Linked DNA regions of Arabidopsis thaliana. The protein of the gene in region 1 purifies or fractionates together with the protein of each later gene. This does not show direct contact. Each region holds a gene or a part of one and is shown in the gene's direction. Other genes may lie near its edges.

Evidence for each region.
Region 2: the proteins of APC2 (region 1) and APC4 purify together in Arabidopsis thaliana (affinity purification with mass spectrometry, with the first as the bait; one large-scale study listed by BioGRID). This does not show direct contact.
Region 3: the proteins of APC2 (region 1) and AT1G06590 purify together in Arabidopsis thaliana (affinity purification with mass spectrometry, with the first as the bait; one large-scale study listed by BioGRID). This does not show direct contact.

What each region holds. Positions count from the first base shown.
Region 1 is NC_003071.7:1,623,004-1,629,764, forward strand, and holds APC2 (anaphase-promoting complex/cyclosome 2), read left to right. Parts: upstream 1-1,626; 5' UTR 1,627-1,929; coding exon 1,930-2,160; intron 2,161-2,322; coding exon 2,323-2,394; intron 2,395-2,488; coding exon 2,489-2,720; intron 2,721-2,853; coding exon 2,854-3,134; intron 3,135-3,235; coding exon 3,236-3,307; intron 3,308-3,393; coding exon 3,394-3,638; intron 3,639-3,757; coding exon 3,758-4,174; intron 4,175-4,260; coding exon 4,261-4,462; intron 4,463-4,561; coding exon 4,562-4,664; intron 4,665-4,758; coding exon 4,759-4,841; intron 4,842-4,952; coding exon 4,953-5,072; intron 5,073-5,178; coding exon 5,179-5,267; intron 5,268-5,337; coding exon 5,338-5,419; intron 5,420-5,499; coding exon 5,500-5,676; intron 5,677-5,752; coding exon 5,753-5,821; intron 5,822-5,913; coding exon 5,914-6,036; 3' UTR 6,037-6,256; downstream 6,257-6,761. Other genes in the region: AT2G04650 (ADP-glucose pyrophosphorylase family protein), read right to left, coding at 33-123, 209-301, 390-436, 515-575, 669-747, 829-929, 1,242-1,339, 1,432-1,483. UniProt on the Arabidopsis thaliana protein: Component of the anaphase promoting complex/cyclosome (APC/C), a cell cycle-regulated E3 ubiquitin-protein ligase complex that controls progression through mitosis and the G1 phase of the cell cycle.
Region 2 is NC_003075.7:11,448,710-11,456,544, forward strand, and holds APC4 (Transducin/WD40 repeat-like superfamily protein), read left to right. Parts: upstream 1-1,842; 5' UTR 1,843-2,033; coding exon 2,034-2,111; intron 2,112-2,195; coding exon 2,196-2,307; intron 2,308-2,521; coding exon 2,522-2,613; intron 2,614-2,768; coding exon 2,769-2,852; intron 2,853-3,045; coding exon 3,046-3,285; intron 3,286-3,625; coding exon 3,626-3,706; intron 3,707-3,876; coding exon 3,877-4,028; intron 4,029-4,182; coding exon 4,183-4,343; intron 4,344-4,432; coding exon 4,433-4,533; intron 4,534-4,609; coding exon 4,610-4,684; intron 4,685-4,803; coding exon 4,804-4,983; intron 4,984-5,098; coding exon 5,099-5,181; intron 5,182-5,258; coding exon 5,259-5,357; intron 5,358-5,666; coding exon 5,667-5,771; intron 5,772-6,058; coding exon 6,059-6,197; intron 6,198-6,328; coding exon 6,329-6,547; intron 6,548-6,644; coding exon 6,645-6,797; intron 6,798-6,876; coding exon 6,877-6,958; intron 6,959-7,055; coding exon 7,056-7,153; 3' UTR 7,154-7,298; and 1 more. Other genes in the region: AT4G21520 (Transducin/WD40 repeat-like superfamily protein), read right to left, coding at 44-91, 175-317, 413-519, 617-699, 793-866, 962-1,042, 1,140-1,192, 1,309-1,371 and 1 more; SPHK2 (Diacylglycerol kinase family protein), read left to right, coding at 7,521-7,835.
Region 3 is NC_003070.9:2,021,713-2,026,614, reverse strand, and holds the start of AT1G06590 (anaphase-promoting complex subunit), read left to right. Parts: upstream 1-1,865; 5' UTR 1,866-2,109; coding exon 2,110-2,280; intron 2,281-2,592; coding exon 2,593-2,752; intron 2,753-2,837; coding exon 2,838-2,959; intron 2,960-3,330; coding exon 3,331-3,565; intron 3,566-3,984; coding exon 3,985-4,162; intron 4,163-4,252; coding exon 4,253-4,337; intron 4,338-4,435; coding exon 4,436-4,521; intron 4,522-4,708; coding exon 4,709-4,838; intron 4,839-4,902. Other genes in the region: AT1G06620 (2-oxoglutarate (2OG) and Fe(II)-dependent oxygenase superfamily protein), read right to left, coding at 1-181, 474-997. UniProt on the Arabidopsis thaliana protein: Component of the anaphase promoting complex/cyclosome (APC/C), a cell cycle-regulated E3 ubiquitin-protein ligase complex that controls progression through mitosis and the G1 phase of the cell cycle.

The sequences.
Region 1 (6,761 bases):
GTCTCTGAGAGAGGCCAATAATGAATACTCACATGTGTCTCTTATTTGGCTATATACTTCTTCAATTGCATTGAAGATATCTGAAGTAAACACATAGACACCACAGTTTATCAAGTCACTGACCTGCATTGAGTAGATAATTTAAGCTAAACAAATTTCAGAGCCTGTGAAGGAATTAAGAAAACAGGATTGTTTAGCAGATAATTACGAAAGTCTCGGGCTTCTCTGTATAATGCAGGAGTTCTTTAGTATCAGGATCAGCTATCAATTCACCAAATTGGCTAGCTGCTTCTGCAGAAACCTGAAGTGAAAAAGCGATATTCATGTTTATGTTTGATCTTTATGTTTGTTTCCTTAGTGACATCTAAAATAACATCAGGATAACGAACCTTGATTACTAGCATAGTTCCAATACCACCATATCTTCGATGTGCGTCTACGAAAAGTAGTGAAGTACATCAAAGTAAGAAAATGAAAACGATGAAGCAGATTAGCGATTTCAAAGGGAGATTACCAAGTATGCCTTGAAGAGGGAAAGAACAGCAAACATCACAGTTGAGGAGGAAAACATGTGACTGTTCAAAGAGACAAGAAATGGAAGATCAATCAGGAAAACAAATGACTGATGAGGCAGGAACTAAAGTTGGGAATTTCATCAGAAATCAAACCGGTTTCTCTTCCATAATTCTATCACGAAAGTAATAAAGAGCACCAGCTGAACCATGGGGTTTATCTTCTTTCAAGTATCTATATAACAAGAACATCGTTCAATTCTCGATTTCACATTACACACCAAAAACCAAAAACACAAATGCTACTACAACTTACCGCACTGGAATTTTCAGCTCGTTAGATATTGAAGACACATACAAAGCAAATTCTCGTTCCTCGTAAAATCCAATCAGAAAAATCTGAGCCAGATTTGATATCTGTCCATGCCAAATACAAAACAAATATAATATGATCAATCATCATTACAAAGTTGAGAACTTTCCCATCCTTTGAGCCTGAAGAAACTATGAAAAGTTCAAAACTTTGACACTACAAATCATACAACAACAAGAAAATATTCCAAAGTGTAGAGTACTAAAATGGAACAAACCCACATAAAGACAAACGATCCATGTCAAATCAAAACAAGTTATGAGCAATCCACATTTCAAAGTTGACAACTTTCACGACTCAAGCAATACCAAACTTTTCTCAGGGATCAAAAGCAAGAAATAGTAAAAAGAAGAAACCTTTTTACAAGCAGAGATAGGATGATGAATCATAGGTTGACCAGCCAAAGGAATCAATGGTTTCGGTGTATTGAACGATAACGGGCGAAATCGAGTTCCTAAACCAATCCACATTAGCAAAAACCCAAAACCAAAATCAAAAATTCATGTTTTGAAAATAGAATTTGAGATCCAAAAGAGAATGTTATACCTTTGGTCGGACCACCAACCATGATCACAGCGACGACTTTCTCCTCCGACATGTCGAGATTCAATAAAACCTAGATTCGTTAAAGTTAAACACACGACGATGATCTGATTTTGTATTGAAAGGTCGTATCTTTGTAGTCGGATATTCTCAAGTTTTTTGAACTAAAGTTGAAAAACAGAGTAATCAGAATGGAGCCTAATAAAACGTCTTTTTTAATTCCGTTTTGTTTTTGCGTTTGTTAGCGTTTTATAATTGCGTTTGTGAATGACCAAACTTTATGAATCTTCTTCTATAGCTTCTCTCTCTGAACTTCATCAATGTAAATTTCAATCTTTTCTTCATTAATGTGTTCCGTTTGATTTTGTTTCTTCAGTGAAATGAAATTGAGATTGGTTTCTGATTTTATCTTCTTGCCAGTGAAACCCTAGTAATTGTGATTTTGCTGGGCAAGAAATTAGGGTTTTAGGAGGTTTTGTTACTTACTCAAGAGTGAAAAAGATGGAAGCTTTAGGTTCCTCTGATTGCAATTTAGAGATTTTAGAAACTCTATCAGACGATGCGATTCAGGAGATTACTGAAAGCTATGATGGATTTTTCACTACTGTAGAGTCTCTCATTGCTGGTACTGGAGATTCCTTAGTTGAAGATGAGTTTGTGTCTCATGTGTATTGTCTCTGCAAGTATGGGCTTGATTCTCTTGTTCGTGATCACTTTCTTAGATCACTTGAGGTACTGAACATAAACGTCTTCCTTTTAGATTAAAGTTTGAGTCTTGGAGCTTTCTGATTGCATAACTGATTAGCTTGTACCACTTAGTAGCTGCTCTGTTGGTGTAGAGTAAAAGTGGAAGAAGTATGTTTGTTCTCTTATGATACATTTGTTTTGTTTCAGCAAGCTTTTGAGAAGGGAGGTGCATCGAGTTTTTGGCAACATTTTGATGCTTATAGTGAGAAGAAACATCATGTAAGAAGTTACACGCTTGGTTGATTCTTTGTTTGCTATAAAATATTCTGAAATTGACTTCTAGTTTTGACTAAAAATGAGTGCTTTTGGGCAGAATTATGGAGAGGAGATTCAGATAGTGTTATGCAAGGCTTTGGAAGAAATTTCTATTGAAAAGCAGTATCATGAGAAGTGTCTGTCCATAGTAGTTCATGCTTTGCAGTCGTTTAAAGAACAGTCGTCAGATGATAGACAGAACTCAGATACAGAAAGAGTTCATCTTTTTTCGAGGTTCCAGTCAATGCTGTCTTCAACTCTGATGACTACACTTCCTCAGCATTTTCCTGGTATACCCATCTTTGAAAGCTTGTTCTTTGTGTGATTTCTGATGTAGTTTGATTGCTTGGAAGTTTTATTTATACGTTTGCCACTTGTTCAATCATTACTCTCTTATTGTTCCTCTTTTTATTATGTTCTTAGAAATACTCCACTGGTATTTTAAGGAAAGGCTGGAGGAGTTAAGCGCAATCATGGACGGAGATGGTATTGAAGAACAAGAGGATGATTGCATGGATTTGGACGAGAAGTTGAGATATAAAAACGGAGAAATGGATGTTGATGAAGGCTGTTCCCAAGGAAAACGTTTGGGACATGACAAGTTGGTGAAGAACATTGGGAAGGTGGTCCGTGACCTTAGAAGTATTGGATTTACATCTATGGCTGAAAATGCTTATGCTTCTGCCATCTTTTTGCTCCTTAAGGTATTTTTTATGCATCAGATTATTCATCTGCCTCACAGAGAGTTATAACACTATATCTATTGTCAGTAACTTGTACCCTGTTTGGCAATGTTATACTGTAGGCGAAAGTCCATGATCTGGCTGGTGATGATTACAGGACTTCTGTTTTGGAATCAATCAAAGAATGGATTCAGGTAGTTTTTGCTGGTTAGATTTTCACTGCTCCATCAGATTAGTTTGGTAATTTGGAGATTCCTGACATCTTATTTTCTCTTTTCAGACAGTCCCTCTACAATTCCTTAATGCACTTCTTTCTTATCTTGGTGATTCCGTAAGTTATGGTACCACATCGTCTGGCCTCACGTCCCCTCTGGCTTGTTGCCCATCTCCAAGCTTTTCCAGAGTGGTGACTCCTTCTGAAGGAATTGTTCGGTGGAAATTACGGCTAGAATATTTTGCATATGAAACACTTCAAGATTTAAGGATTGCCAAATTATTTGAGATAATTGTTGATTATCCTGAGAGGTATTTTCTTTTCTGATGTTACTTTTTTATGCCCACATATCTCACTTGAGAGCCAATTTAAAAACTGCAAGTAGTCGAAATATCTTGCGTCTCTGATGAAAATTTTGTTGATGCAACAGTTCTCCTGCCATTGAAGACTTAAAGCAGTGTCTTGAATATACTGGACAACATTCTAAGCTAGTTGAATCTTTTATTTCTTCGCTGAAATACCGTTTGCTCACTGCTGGTGCCTCAACCAATGATATATTACATCAGTATGTGTCGACTATTAAAGCTCTTCGGGCAATAGATCCAGCTGGTGTATTTCTGGAAGCAGTGGGTGAACCAATTAGAGACTATTTACGGGGGCGGAAAGATACCATTAAATGTATCGTCACTATGCTTACAGATGGAAGTGGAGGGAATGCAAATGGTTCCGGAAACCCTGGGGATAGTCTTCTTGAAGAATTAATGAGGGATGAAGAAAGTCAAGAGAATGTCGGTTTTGACGATGATTTTCACACCGATGATAAGCAAGCCTGGATCAATGCTTCCCGGTATCCTTCCTGTTGTATATTTTCTTGATTATCATCTTGCTTCGCATTGGATTTGTCTGACACCTTTTAATGTGCTTTCACCTCAGTTGGGAACCGGACCCTGTCGAGGCTGATCCTTTAAAAGGTAGCCTCAGTCAGAGGAAGGTAGACATACTTGGAATGCTTGTTGATATAATTGGATCTAAAGAGCAACTAGTAAACGAATATCGTGTTATGCTTGCGGAAAAGCTTCTCAACAAGACTGATTATGACATCGACACTGAGATACGCACTGTTGAACTTCTCAAGGCAAGCTCCATTTTGTCCCTCTTAAGTTTGACTTGCCAAACTATTGGATTGTTTCTATAGTGTTGAATCTAACTTTACCTTCTCTTATTATGCCAATAGATACATTTTGGAGAAGCCAGTATGCAAAGATGTGAGATAATGCTGAACGACCTAATTGATTCTAAGAGAGTGAACACTAACATTAAAAAAGCATCTCAAACAGGTTATATTTCTCTCTTGTTCTCAATTTTACTCATGCAAGGTAGGTTCTTGTCTGGTTCTTTTACTTGGTATTTGTGTCCATTGCTTGTGTTTAGGCGCTGAGTTAAGAGAGAATGAGCTTTCTGTTGATACTCTCACCTCAACGATACTTTCAACAAACTTCTGGCCACCAATTCAGGTATTCATATGTTCTTCCCTCTGATTTTGTATCCATTATGTCATACGTAAAATATGAGGCGTATAGATTCTTGTGATCGCTTCCATTCGCTGATTAGAAGAGGAATTTCAGGATGAACCTCTAGAGCTACCTGGACCTGTCGACAAGCTGCTATCAGATTATGCCAATCGATATCATGAAATCAAGACCCCTCGTAAATTACTTTGGAAGAAAAATCTTGGCACTGTCAAGGTACATCTAGAATAAATACTTATAAGTGAAAGTTTCATGTTTTCGAGTATTGGGTAAATCAGATACTGACCTATGCATCTCTCTGAAATGGCTTGGATGGATTCAGTTGGAGCTGCAATTTGAAGACAGAGCAATGCAGTTCACAGTCTCACCCACACATGCAGCCATTATTATGCAATTTCAAGAAAAGAAAAGGTAAGTACAAGAATCAGTCAATATGGATATTTCCATCTTCCAAATTCACTGAAGTTATGTAATCTTTCAGTTGGACCTATAAAGATCTTGCTGAAGTCATTGGGATACCCATTGATGCATTAAACCGAAGAGTAAACTTCTGGATAAGCAAGGTATATACCGTAATTGTAGTCTCCTGCTTTAAACCAGTCATTTAGATGAAAAGCTTATTTGCAAGTTTTTCTGTACTTAGGGAGTTCTGAGAGAATCTACAGGAGCAAACTCAAATTCCAGTGTGTTAACGCTCGTTGAATCCATAACTGATTCTGGAAAGAACGAAGGCGAGGAGCTTCTAACAGGTGAGGAAGAGGGTGAAACATCAATTGCCTCTGTGGAAGATCAGCTTCGCAAAGAAATGACGATATACGAGGTATGTAAAATGCTTGGGAAACTTTTTCCTTCTCCAGAGATATACAAATCTAAACAATTATCAACCATGTTTTCAGAAATTCATCATGGGAATGCTCACAAATTTTGGTAGCATGGCACTAGAACGAATCCATAACACTCTCAAGGTAACAATCTGACATCAAACCTCACTGATTTTACAATATTATTTGTCTTGATCATTGATGATTGCTCTGTTTTTTTTGTTGTTTTGTTGTAGATGTTTTGTGTGGCTGATCCTTCTTATGACAAGTCACTGCAACAGCTTCAGAGCTTTCTTTCTGGTTTGGTTTCTGAAGAGAAACTAGAGTTTAGAGATGGTATGTATTTGCTAAAGAAGTAGATCAACTCTTTACATGTGTTAGACTAGCTAGAACTAATTTTGTCTATTGTTGTATCAATATCCTTTTCTTTTCTCAATTAAATCTCATATAGTTAGTGATAAACAATTACTACTTTTCTTTTTATTTTTCTTTGACTCCACAATCATTTCTTTAACCACACAATTATGTAATTAGAGATTGGCCATTTCTCCATTAGGGTAAATTATACAAGTTGTGATATTCTTTAGAGGTTCTTAATGATTTTGAGCTTTCTTATCAATAGCCTACTTAGGTTTAATGTATAATGTATTTGCCAGTTTTTATTGAATTTGATATACTGTTTAATAATAAAATTATCGATTTCTCTTTTATAAAGAGTATTTGAGAAACCCTGATAATAGTATTCTGAAATCCGCGAGCAATTAGTGCAGAACCGCTACACATTACTTATGTAAATAATTTATCGCAATTTTGACTTGTTTGAGTCCTAAATAATATCTGATGACAAAAAAAAAAAAAAAAAATCTGCGGGCAATAGCTGTAAACTAGTCTAAGTTAATCGCGATTCTGCAGGTAATGTAGCTTATTTGGTTAACAAAAAATCACAACAATATGATATCTAATTGAAACAACCCGACCCATTTTTTAAAAAAAAAATATAATTAAATATTCCCATAAATATCTAATTAAACCAACCAATAACATAATAATTAAACCGCAAGTCAGAAATACATTTTATGAATAA
Region 2 (7,835 bases), on another chromosome or scaffold:
TGCTCAACATTCAGAGGGTAAAATGTTTATAACAGTATGTTACCTTGCGACCTCCTGTATATAAATAGTTCCCATCCTTTGAAAACTGGACCTAAAAGCCACCAAAAATTCGATCAATAATTGGATCATATCCCAATGGACAAAAATAAGGCACATTTAGTGGTCAATGCTTACATGTGTAACACCGCCTTCTTGACCATGTAAAACATACAATAGCTCCATGTTGTCTTCTCTATAAATCCCAGTAGTTTGCCCGTAAGACCCCACAGCCAACATTCCAGAATTAGTTGGGGAGAAAGCAAGAGTAGATAATATACCTGGAAATTATGAACCAGTTAAGGTTGTTCTTGTTTCTGTATAATCTGTAATAATATTGTTATGCAGCGTCTGAGTGGAAAAGAAAGAAAAAAACCTGCTTGGCCCTCTTTGTTTTTCTGTAGAGTTGAATACTGCCTAAAATCTCTTCCAGGACGATGAAGATCAAACACTCTGATGGAGCTGTTGTAACCAGCAAAGATCCTAAAGACATAACACAGGCAAATGAACATAGACCACTTTTAATCAATTCTTTACCGTGTGGGAAGATGGATACAACTTAGATGAAGTTTTTGCTTACTTGGTTCCATCAGGATTGAATCCAACTGAAAATGCAGCAGTTATTTCATCCATAGCATCATAGGCCCGGTATGTGCATCGAAGCTGACATTGTGTTATTCACATGTAAATAAACAAAAAAGGATGGTAGAAAAAATCTCCAGTAAACATGTTAAGTTTCATGGAAAAAATCAGCACCTCACCAGAAGTACTATCCCAAAGATGTATCGGATGGTCTCTAGTGGAGGTAGCGAAGACGCATGTTAAAGGGTCTGATATCAATCAGTGAACAGCCAAAATCAGTAATTCAACTGATGAAATCATTAAGCCAAAAAATTGAACCCCTTATGATGAGCTTATCTATTACCTGAAACTGACATGTATGGATACCAACAGAAATCATAGACAGATTCACCCTCATTCACTAGAAGACTCGCACCATACGAATCTACAATTCCAATAAACACACCATGAATCACAAAATTACTTCACACATATTTTACAGCATTTGCCACAACATACAAATGCTAGATGGAAAAGCTAACCTTCTTCAGGGACTGGCACTCCATAGCCATTAGAATCCCCTCCATCTTGTGGCCTGATGGGGCAAATTTGCAAAACTAAAGATTCAACAGAGAACTAAAACTACACAAACATACAAAATTATTGATACTTAAGCTACAAAAATATTTCAATTGAAATTATTCAACTTACAGATGAAACAGACTAAGTGTATTATCTTCAGAGCTTGCAAGGAAACATGAACCATCAGGTGACCTATATAAGAAACAGTAACAAAATCAGTACCTCAAAAGTTAGGCAAAAAGAAAAAACCAAACTTTGAGAAAGAACAAAACTCTACTCAAGAGATTGATTTGAAACAAGAAGAAAAGGGTACCACTTAAGACCCTTGAGGAAATTATTAGGGTTTCGAGCTGTCCTGAACTGCTTAGAGAAATGGTGCGTTCTATAAGGAGAGACATCAAATCTCATAGTAGGCCAGGATGATTTTTGTTCTCCTGATTCTACCTTAAGTCCACCATTTTCTTCTGCTACTGCTTCTTCTTCACCCATCTTCTTCGTCAGAGCTTCTGGAAAAAAGCAGCAGAGAGAGGTTTACTTTCGTTCTAAACCCCAGTCAAAATCTCCAAAACCTGAACCAGGTTTTCAATCTCAGACCGACAAATTGAACCGAACTTAAACCAAAAACCGGATTAGGGATTTTGATTGGAATTTGGAAGAAAAGCCCGCCAGGTTTGTCATTAGTGCGTCTCTCTCTTCTCCCGGCGGATCGGCGAATCCCGGCGACCACCGTCTTCTTTCCTTTATCCACTCTCTACAGCTTTCTTCTCAAGTGTTTCTCTCTAGTTACTTCCTTCCTACAGCTTTGCTAGATATTGAAAATTAGAATATTAACCCCTAATCCCAAAAACCTCGGAATGTCGGAAATGGCGAGTGACGAGGAAGAAAATATCATTCCTTTCCAGCTCCAGTTCGACAAGCCCATACCTTTTCAGGTTTTGGTTCTACTCCTGCTCAAAGTTCGTGTCTTTTTTATGCTTTTAAGGATTTAGATGTTTATATATGTTCAATTTCATTAGATTAAGATAGCTGAGTGGAACCCGGAGAAGGATTTACTGGCAATGGTTACTGAGGACTCCAAGATTTTGCTGCATCGGTTCAATTGGCAGAGATTATGGACTATTTCGCCTGGTAAAGTTTCTCTCTTTTGTTCACTTTGTTTGATTTAAAGTAGACAATTTTGATTACAAGATGGTTTGTGATTATTGTATTCCTTAACTTTCAGGCTTGATGAAAATTCGTTTGTGGAACTTAGTTATTTGCTGAAATTGAAAGTGGAATGCAATTTGAAGTAGGTTGTCAATAGTTCTGGTACTAAGTGTATTTCCTTTCTTTTGGTTTATAGGAAAGCCTGTTACTTCTTTATGTTGGCGTCCTGATGGCAAAGCCATAGCTGTTGGGCTCGAGGATGGAACCATTTCACTTCACGATGTTGAGGCAAGTATAGATTGAAACTAATCCATGTTTTACATGATGACGTTGTTGATAGCCTAAATATTCCTTTTTAAACTTTGCTGTATAGAAACTAGTATTATGTTTTATTTATAAAGGATCATGCTGATCAAAAAGTTGGTAATACTCTTTTCATGCAGAATGGGAAGCTATTAAGGAACTTGAAGCCCCATGATGTAGCTGTCGTGTGTCTTAACTGGGAGGAGGATGGACAATCCAATACTGTATGTTTTCTCCTCTGACTAGTTGTACAAGAACTCATGTTTGGTTGCGGTATCTATATTTGTGTTGACAAACTGAGAAAGTTTCTTTTACCAATCCCAGTTGAAGCATCTATTCTCTTAGTTTTTTTTTTCACACCCAACTCTTATAGTTATTTGAGCTTGTGCTTACTTTTTCTTAGAGTTTGGTTTACAGGATGAAAGTGGTAATTTCTCAGTTTATGAGGACCGGACCTCCCGTTTTTTTCCTCCTGCTCCAAGACCTCCAAAGATGCCTGGACTGGTAGCTGGTGACTCCAGTTTCATGGATGACGGTGAAGACTCTTTGGCAGAGCTATCCAATACCTCATTCCGGAAGTTTAACATTCTTTGCACTGGTGATCGTGATGGGAACATATGCTTCAGTATATTTGGAATATTTCAGATAGGAAAGATTGTAAGTCGCTCTTTTGACTGTAAGTAATTAGTAAGCCGTAATTATCCATTCATGTATTATGGTTGATGATGCTTCATCATCTTTCCATTCCGCTTGCATATAGAATTGCAGGATGCTTAATGAATTTCAACACTATTTCTACATGGAAATTATTTTCTGAGATCCTTAATTGTTCGTTTATAACAAGTAATTAATATTGTTAGGAGTAAAGTTTACGGTTTGTAAGTTTCTTATTTCTTTTCTAGCTATGAGCAATATTCTCTTAGTATAATTTTAATTTAAGTCTTCATTTCTCTTGTTTCATGTGTTTGCTCTGCTGCTCTTGCATTACCATGATCAGAACATACACGAGCTGTCTCTTCCTGTGCCTCATCTCGATGAGCATGCCTCTTGCAAACTATTTAATGCTTCCATTTACAAGGTACTTGGATCCTTTCAAGAGCCACGCTTTCCAAATGATATAAATGGCCTCTCGTTATTTCTCATGTCTCAGACTGTTAATGTCTGTTGTGGAAACAAAGAAAGGAGAGCTTGGTAGATGATAAGGAGTCTTTAGATTCAAATTAATTATTTGTATATTTCATTTCTTAGGTTGCTCTGTCAAAAGACCTTTGCCGTCTGGTAGTAATGTGCACAGGAGAGCTTAAGGATTGTGATATCAAGCCAAGAGAGGAAAAAATAAATGTTCAAGATCTGCCTGGTTTACATTGCCTTGCAATGGACACATCTATATTTTGGAAAAGGTAATACACCAAACCTAGCTATACTTTGCCGCTGCTTCTTTCTTTTGTTCCTTCTCATTGTTTTAAATCTTGATTTTAATAACCTTTAATAATTGGCACTGTTTTTCTGCCTTACATCTGTCATATTCGTTATCTCTTCTAATTTTTATCTCAGGAAATATGAGCTTCATCAGGTTGCTCAACAAGCTTCTAACATTGAAGATTTGACCGAGGTTATTCGAGCATCCCTGTCAGTTATGAACAAACAATGGGCGGATGCAATGAAAACTTTTCATGAAAAGTTTCATTCTCTTTCCACCTTGATCATTGATAATGGTATTTGTCACTATCAGTTTGTTGGTTGAGGTTTTTCTCTTATGCTTAATTGCTTATAGATTTACAGGGCTTTGTTGCTTTTCTACTAGGACTGGAATCATCTCCTCAAGAAGAATTTCTTAGCCTTTTGGGTGGTGCACGAATAAGCCCAGCGCTTAATCAGTTTTTAGTTAACTCTCTTGGCGAAGTGGTAAGCTTTACTTGTTTGATCTTCTTCAGGGTACTAGTTTTATCATATTCCACTAAGTAGTTCTCTTGTTCAGTAGGGTGTGAAGCGTGTTTTAAAGTCAGTATGTGGTACAGGAAAAGAGCTTCAGCAGGTTGTCCTTGACCATCTTCAGGTACAGTATTCTTTACATTCCTGAAAATGGAGTTATAGTTTTTAGACTAAGTAGCGTTTATTTATACAGCTAATACTTTTTAGATAGAGTTTTGTCACGAATTAAGCTTTCTTTTTCAGCCTGCAGCAGAAATTATCGGATTCAGGATAGGTGAATTAAGAGGTCTATCGAGGTGGCGTGCACGGTACCAAGGCATTGGTTTGGATGAGATGCTCCTTAATGAAGCCACTGAAAATACTGGTCTGCTACTTGTACAAGTGCAACGGTTTATGATGGTACTATCTTCTGTTGTCCAACAGGTACAGAGGCGTGCAGTTCTTTTGACACTGAAAATCATAGTTATTTAGTATGTTGGCTGTCCCATGTTTCCCACGCAATGGTCATTTCAATAGAATTATAAACTTTTTGTTTCAGTTCTCAAATTTCTTCAACTGGCTCGTCAGAAGTATAAAGTATCTTATGCAAGAACCGAATGATCAGCTTTTGTCATACAACAGGTATGCACATGTGTTTTTATGTTGTTAAAGGTGTTAAAGCCAAATCTTTGCAGTTACATGGTTTGTTTCTGTGGCAGTGAACTCCTTGTGGTATTCTTGAAGTTCTTATATGACCAAGATCCTGTGAAAGACCTCTTGGAGCTATCTGAAGCTGGTGATGACATTGAAATTGATCTGTAGGTCAACTCTTTCTATGTCTGTGCTTTTACCTACCTTTTCTGATCACTTATCTTGTAGTCGAGCAGAATCTCTGTCAGGTTACCTAAAATTTTTTAAGCCATTTATAACCACATACAATAGGGGTAGTCCAATGTGATAATACGAATGAAATCCGAGCAGGTTTCTCTAACCACACTAAAACGAAATTCAGATATGGGTAATGTGTGTGCGTTTGTGAAGCATGAAGTCCATTGTATCATCCCTAGCTGTTCATTCACTTTGTTTTACTTCATTTCATTTAAACTCTTAATGTTTTAATGTCCCAGCAAAACCATCGGAAGAGTCAAAGAGTTACTTCAGTTTGGAGGGTTTTCAGAGTGTGATTTTCTGCAGAGGACATTGGCTAAGGAATTCCAACACATGGAGTCTAGGTATTTTCTTTACATCTTCACTTCTTAAAACATAAAGTTTCTTAAAAATGCTGCATCATGGAGCACAACGTTGGTAAACTGATACGTGTAAAAGGCTATGGTAGAGACAAAGGTCCGATACCATGGCTGCCTTGGCATTTTGAAATACAACATGAACAACCATATTTATGGTATTGGAGTTTACTTGCAAAACAAAGTGTGCTGAGTCTTTATAATCTGGACATACTTTCTCATGGCTTTCTCTGACTAGACGTCAAATTCTGATTTTAATGCTTTAACAATTTTAGCTTCAAGATGGCTTTTCAAATGCCCTTTACAACAATATCAAGAAAGATATCATGTATGAAGTTGTTGCCTCTTTGCCCTCTTCAGTTGTCAACAACGCAAACACCTACAACAATTCCCATGTCTCTTTCCTTCTATAAGGTACTTGCAGCAACAATCTTAATGCACTTTATTATGATCCCATAGGGCATCCTTAGGAAGAGATTGCTGATTGCTATCTCCAAAGTCTTCATTTGCTCCTGATATACTAAAGTCTCTGTTTGCTTGTGCAGAATGAACTTTCTGATGATACACCTTGTCAAAGTGGGTACACTGATTACATATCTTTTCAAGTCCCCGATGAGACCTTCCCAGAGATTTCAAACTGTATTGGCATAGCTAAGGGTTATAAGCAGAATTCCAACAATGAGAAAAATGGTTATACTTCTCTGGAAGCCGTTTTGTTATCTGTACCTAATGGCTACACTTGTGTTGATTTGTCTCTCTACAAGGTGAATACTCATTCTCTTCTGCAACAATGGTTGATTTAATTGGTATATTTTTTCTTTTGGAGTTGCCTTGTAAATCCTGTGTCTGATTTTGAAACAGGATAAAGAACTGGTTTTATTATTGAATAAGACAAATACAGATTCCGAAGGCTCGGGAGAAGCATGCATGATGGTTGTACAAACTGGTGACCTCGCATTCATTTCCATTTCAGGATCTAGTTCTCTAAACCAGTGGGAGCTAGAGGATTTGAAGGTATTGCTAATTTCAAGCATTAACATCGACGTTTGTTTTAAAATTAGTGAAGTTTATGTAAGAACTTATGCATCTCCAGGGCTCGATTGTGAACCTGGAAATGGAGAATGAAAAGGTTCGCAAAGTACCACATTCTGTCATTGCTCCTCTAGCAGTAAGCGGTAAGAGCTTAATTTTCTGTCTTTTCTTCTTCTTCAAACTAGAAATGCTTTTTCAAAATCATGAAATAATTTGCTTAATTATTTAAAATTCTTACAGCTTCAAGAGGAGTGGCTTGTGTTTTTGCTGAAAGAAGACGAGCTTTGGTGTACATATTGGAAGAAGATGAAGATGAAGAAATCTCTGATGAAAAGTAAACCTCCTCCAATGCCTGCTTTGATTGTTGTTTGTGTAGATTATTAAAGTTAAGAAACAGAAACTTGACTACTTGAAGTTGTAAACGGTGACGTTTTGTTAGTTAATGACTTCTTCTAATGTCTGTATCAGTCTCTTCTTTTCACACTTGCGTCATAATTAAAGAGGGTTACGCCACGTCAGCTCAGCCACTCGACAGGTTAAAGCGCGTGGTTGTCACTTCCCCTTTGATCAGACAAAGCTGACCAAAAAGGTGGGTTTTTTCAAAGTCCATTCTTTATTCTTAGCTCAACTAAGGAAGCAAGACGAAATTCTCTCTCTTTCTCTAAGCTCTACGCCACCGTCACGGAGGTTGTCTTGTTTTGTCTCATGGAGAATGATCAATTCATGTGTCCGACTGATATAATCACCGGCATAGTGTTTATTGATGGTGAATTGGCTATGTTGACTTTGACTGCCGACGGGGAGTTACGGTGGACAGAGTATGGACTCCGGCAGTATTTGTCGATGAAGAAGGATGTTCTTGGTTTCATCGTCGAAGGTAAGCAGATTAGAGTAAAAGCCGTGGTTGAGAAAGAGGCAGGAGGAATCTGCTGCGGACAATTTGGTGGAGACTTCGTGAGGAAAGATTTCGTCTTTGAGCCTCTCATCGATCAAAATGGATGGTGCTATAAGCTTCGTCAA
Region 3 (4,902 bases), on another chromosome or scaffold:
TAAGCCTAGAGTAAGGTCGGGTTGGGGACATGGCGGGTAATAATGGCCGAGCAACAGCAAGGAGTTAGTGCAATCCATGTCCTTGAGGTGATTAGTGTTTAACCCTAGAGCTTCCGAGAGAAGCTCGAAGAGTAATTTACCCAATTTCATCACTTCCTTTGAGTACTCAATCATCATCTCCCTGAAAAAATGTCCACCAAAATCTTTAAGACACACTAATGAATAATGGGGGCGTAAAAATCTTCAACGAAATCCTAGCGCTTATAACTATTTGAATAAGTTATTATTGGATTTATGTATTTCAATTGTTATAAAAATTTGTTAAAAAAGAAAACGTATTATTGGATTAATATTCGTCTAACGAGTAGTGAAACACTATTCGACCATATATAATTTCTTCGGACCGAGGAACACAACATGTTACAAAAGCAAAAATAGTCAAACTCGTAATTTAACAAATTTGGAAATCTTACCCACAAGTGGCGGGTAAGTCCTCCGGTCTCGGGGGATCTGGTGCTGTATAACAACCAAGTGTATCTCTCCAATTCGCCGCCGGTGAGCTAAACAGATCGAAGTTGCTGCTGTATACCATCTTACTAGCTGGATCTCGAGAGTAAAACCCTTTCTTCACTTCAGTGTCTTGCTCGTGAAACTCACGAATCCCATCTATCATCTTCTCCAACACATCCATCGGGATCCCGTGGTTGATCACCTGGAAAAATCCCCATTTCTCTGCCGCGTCTCCGATCTTCTCCACCAAGCTCCGCCGCGTGATCGAGTCCGTGCCACCTCCTTTGAGATCGATTGTGGGGATGGAGAAATCAGAGGAGGAAGGTGGTTTTGGACTTGTTAAAGTAGCCGGAGGTGCACGAAATATCGAAGGAATCTCTGTGATTCCGGCGTCGATAAGGCCTTTCACGCCGGTTTTAGTCTCGTCGAAAGCTTTGAGTAGAGTTGAACGATCAAGTGCAGCAACTTGGGGAAGTGATGACTCCATTGCTTTTAGCTGAAAATGCAATTGCCGTTGGTTTGAAGTTGGATCTTAATACTACAAGTTGTCAAAAGTTTCACGAGTCAACGACGAAGATAGATGAGAAGAAGTACATGTCTTAGTTAAATTATTCACGTTTCCCACGTGGGGAAAAACCGGGACAAGAAAAAATAATGATAACAAAAAATAGGAAAATGGAGATGCGGGGTATCGATCCCCGTACCTCTCGCATGCTAAGCGAGCGCTCTACCATCTGAGCTACATCCCCGATGACGAAAATGTACAATTGGTCAAAATAAATTAATATACGAACTATACTAGTATCATATTCAACAGCTCATTTTGTCACGTTTATATATTGTATATACAATAATTTTTGTTATTATTTTATTTTTGGCCATCAGCAAGACCTTTTTAAAAAATCGCAACAATAATATTATTCAAGTATTCGGATAGTGGCTCTCGCGTCGAAATGTTTTGGAAGCCTGCGTCACTATCATGGTTAATGGCAAGTTGGCAACAACTACATGAGGTAATCCTTTGTCAAAAATAAATAAATTGAAATCTCTGATAAAAAGATAAAATATAGATTCTGTTCTAATACGATATTTAGTCGAAACTAATAAAAGAGTATATACGAACTTTTTAATGTCTTTGTAATTTGTAAATTCCGTTGTAGTTTTGTAAATTTAAGAAAGTTTTGTTGCCCCAAAAAAAAACGAAATTAAAAAGGAAGTTTTATTCGTTTGATTATTAGTTTATTTAGCTTCTTTTATTTCACCTTTGGGCCTTACACATCAAATCAAACTTAAAAGTTAAAAGGAAAACTTTGGGCCTTGGCCTCTGGGTTATATACTCTTAAGGCTTAACCCGACGGCGGTCAACTACCGGCCTGAAATAACCGGTTTTTATTTTTCCTTTGTTTCTCTTTTCAAAGTGCTCACTTTCCCGGTGACTCTTTAGTCAAAATTTCAAATTAATTCCTCTAAGGTGCCCTAATCCCGGCTGCTCGTCGGGGGAAAATAACCCGGCAGGGATTGAGCAACAGCGTGAGTCCCAAAGTGAGAGACAGTGTGAATCCCAAAGTGAGAGAGTGAGTGTTTTAGCGACAGAGAGATATGGCCGGATTAACGAGAACGGCCGGTGCTTTTGCGGTAACTCCACACAAGATCTCCGTTTGCATTCTCCTGCAGATATACGCTCCTTCCGCTCAGATGTCTCTTCCTTTTCCTTTCTCTTCCGTTGCTCAGCACAACCGCCTCGGCCTCTACTTGCTCTCTCTTACTAAGGTTTCACTCTTCGATTTCTCTCGAATTGCAATATCTTGTAGTTTTTTGAGGTTTAATTCAGCAATGTCTTTTGATTCTTCTGAGTTTCCTGGCCCGTCTCTCATACCCGAAGTTGTATCGAGTTTCTTTATTGCATTTCTTAGAGCTTCTTTGCTAATTTCTGAGATTGATTTCAGCGATGTCTGTTGTAACGATTTCACGGCTCAAAACTCTTGTAACTTATGTTGATTTCATGAGTGAATAATGAATTTGCTGGTTTCGTGTGCTAACAAACTGTTCTTTTCCCTGACGAGATTGATATTCATGCTGCAGTCTTGCGATGATATATTTGAGCCGAAGCTGGAAAAGCTCATCAACCAGTTGAGGGAAGTTGGTGAAGAGATGGACGCGTGGCTAACTGACCATTTAACTAATAGATTTTCCTCTTTGGCTTCACCAGATGATCTATTAAATTTCTTTAATGACATGCGAGGTTAGCTACTTGCTTGCTTAAGGTCTGTTTTTTCTTCTTTTCCATCATGTTTGACTCAAATTAGTTATCATTTCTTTGTATGTAGGAATACTTGGGAGCCTTGATTCAGGAGTCGTGCAAGATGATCAGATTATTTTGGATCCCAACAGCAACTTGGGAATGTTTGTTCGTCGTTGCATTTTGGCATTCAACCTTTTATCGTTCGAGGTATTGAGCTTTTTACGTTTGTGTTATTCTTGTTTTATTTTGAGACTGAATAATATTAATATTATTCAACATGACGTGTAGTTTGAGGTTTTGCTTGAAGGACGCGGATTTGTTAGCTTTTTCGTCAGCCACTTAATTGTGTCTAAACATCTATGTGAAGTTTGTTTGTTTCTTGACCCACTACAATGGAGTACTTGTCTAGGCTAGACTTAAATGTAGACGCATGTATAGGTACATTAAAATATGATATCTAATGGCAGAACTCTGGCTGGTCTGGTTGAAGTGTAATATCTAGCTGTAGTGTTCTTGATTGCTGCAGAAACACATAAGTGAATGTTTGAAAGAACCGTCCATTTCATTGATATGTGCAGGGAGTTTGTCATCTTTTTTCAAGTATTGAAGATTACTGCAAAGAAGCCCATTCAAGCTTTGCTCAGTTTGGTGCACCTAATAATAATCTGGAGTCATTAATACAATATGATCAGATGGATATGGAGAATTATGCAATGGATAAACCAACTGAAGAAATAGAGTTTCAGAAAACTGCTAGTGGAATTGTCCCTTTTCACCTTCATACACCAGATTCACTTATGAAAGCGACAGAAGGTATCCCTTATGGTATTCACCCAATTCAGAGAAAACCTAGAGTTTTTCAGAGTCTCAGGTGCTAGAAAACTATGAGGAAATAGAGTTTTATATTCATGATCAGGCTGCAATTTAGCTGCCACTTTTCTCATATATGTTTGGTAATGTATTTTTGCTGATGATTAGCATCAGTCATAGGATCAACGTTTTATCAAAGTCTTTCGATGTGTTTGTATGAAGCTTTTTCAGACTTTTCTTTTTTAACAGTTGGGCTTCTGAAGATATTTCCCTTTTTCCCTTTTGTAATGTAGAAACGATCTACTAAGAAATTAATTTTGTCGGTTTTTTATATTTTTGTTTCATTCTTATGCTTTGACACTCACTTGTCTTGTAAGGATCTCAATGTTATAATAATGCACAGAACACATGAAACATTGCAGGTTTGCTACATAATAGGAAGGAAACATCAAGGACCAGCAAGAAAGATACAGAAGCTACTCCAGTTGCTCGTGCCTCAACAAGTACACTTGAGGAATCTCTGGTAGATGAGTCATTATTCCTTCGGACAAATTTGCAGATACAAGGCTTTTTAATGGAACAGGCCGATGCAATTGAAATGTAAAGTCTCTTTTTCCTTAGTATTTATATATTTCTGTCATAAGTATTGCTAGTTTTTAAACTTTCCATCCCCTTGTAATTTGATGTCAGCCATGGAAGTTCAAGTTCATTCTCTTCAAGTTCCATCGAAAGTTTCCTTGATCAGCTTCAGAAATTAGCCCCTGAACTGCATCGTGTAATGTCTTGCAATTTTGTATTTTATTTTCAGTTAAATCAGAAGTTAATCATTCTTTCAGTGCTTTGATTCTTACATCACGACATGCAACAATGCAGGTTCACTTTTTGCGTTACTTGAATAAACTTCACAGTGATGACTACTTTGCTGCTTTGGATAATCTCCTCCGTTACTTTGATTACAGGTAATCTGTACTTTTTGCTAATTTTCTCTGTTTCCTAAAAATTTATGTTAAGAATAATATTACTGCCGAAATCGTTTATTGTTTGCATGTGACTCCTGTAAATATCCAGTTGTGTTTGCCTGTTAGATATTTGGCACTAGGAACGTTGTTTCAAACATGAGCTGATCCATGATCCATTGCCTTAAAGTGCAGGGACTGAGGGATTTGACCTTGTTCCTCCTTCAACTGGCTGCAGCATGTATGGAAGGTACGAGATTGGTTTGCTATGTCTGGGAATGATGCATTTCCGATTTGGGCATCCTAATCTGGCTCTAGAGGTGAGAATTCATTCTCCCGAGAGCTTCTATAGCTAAAAACTTGTTCTTGACGTTTAGAATCGTC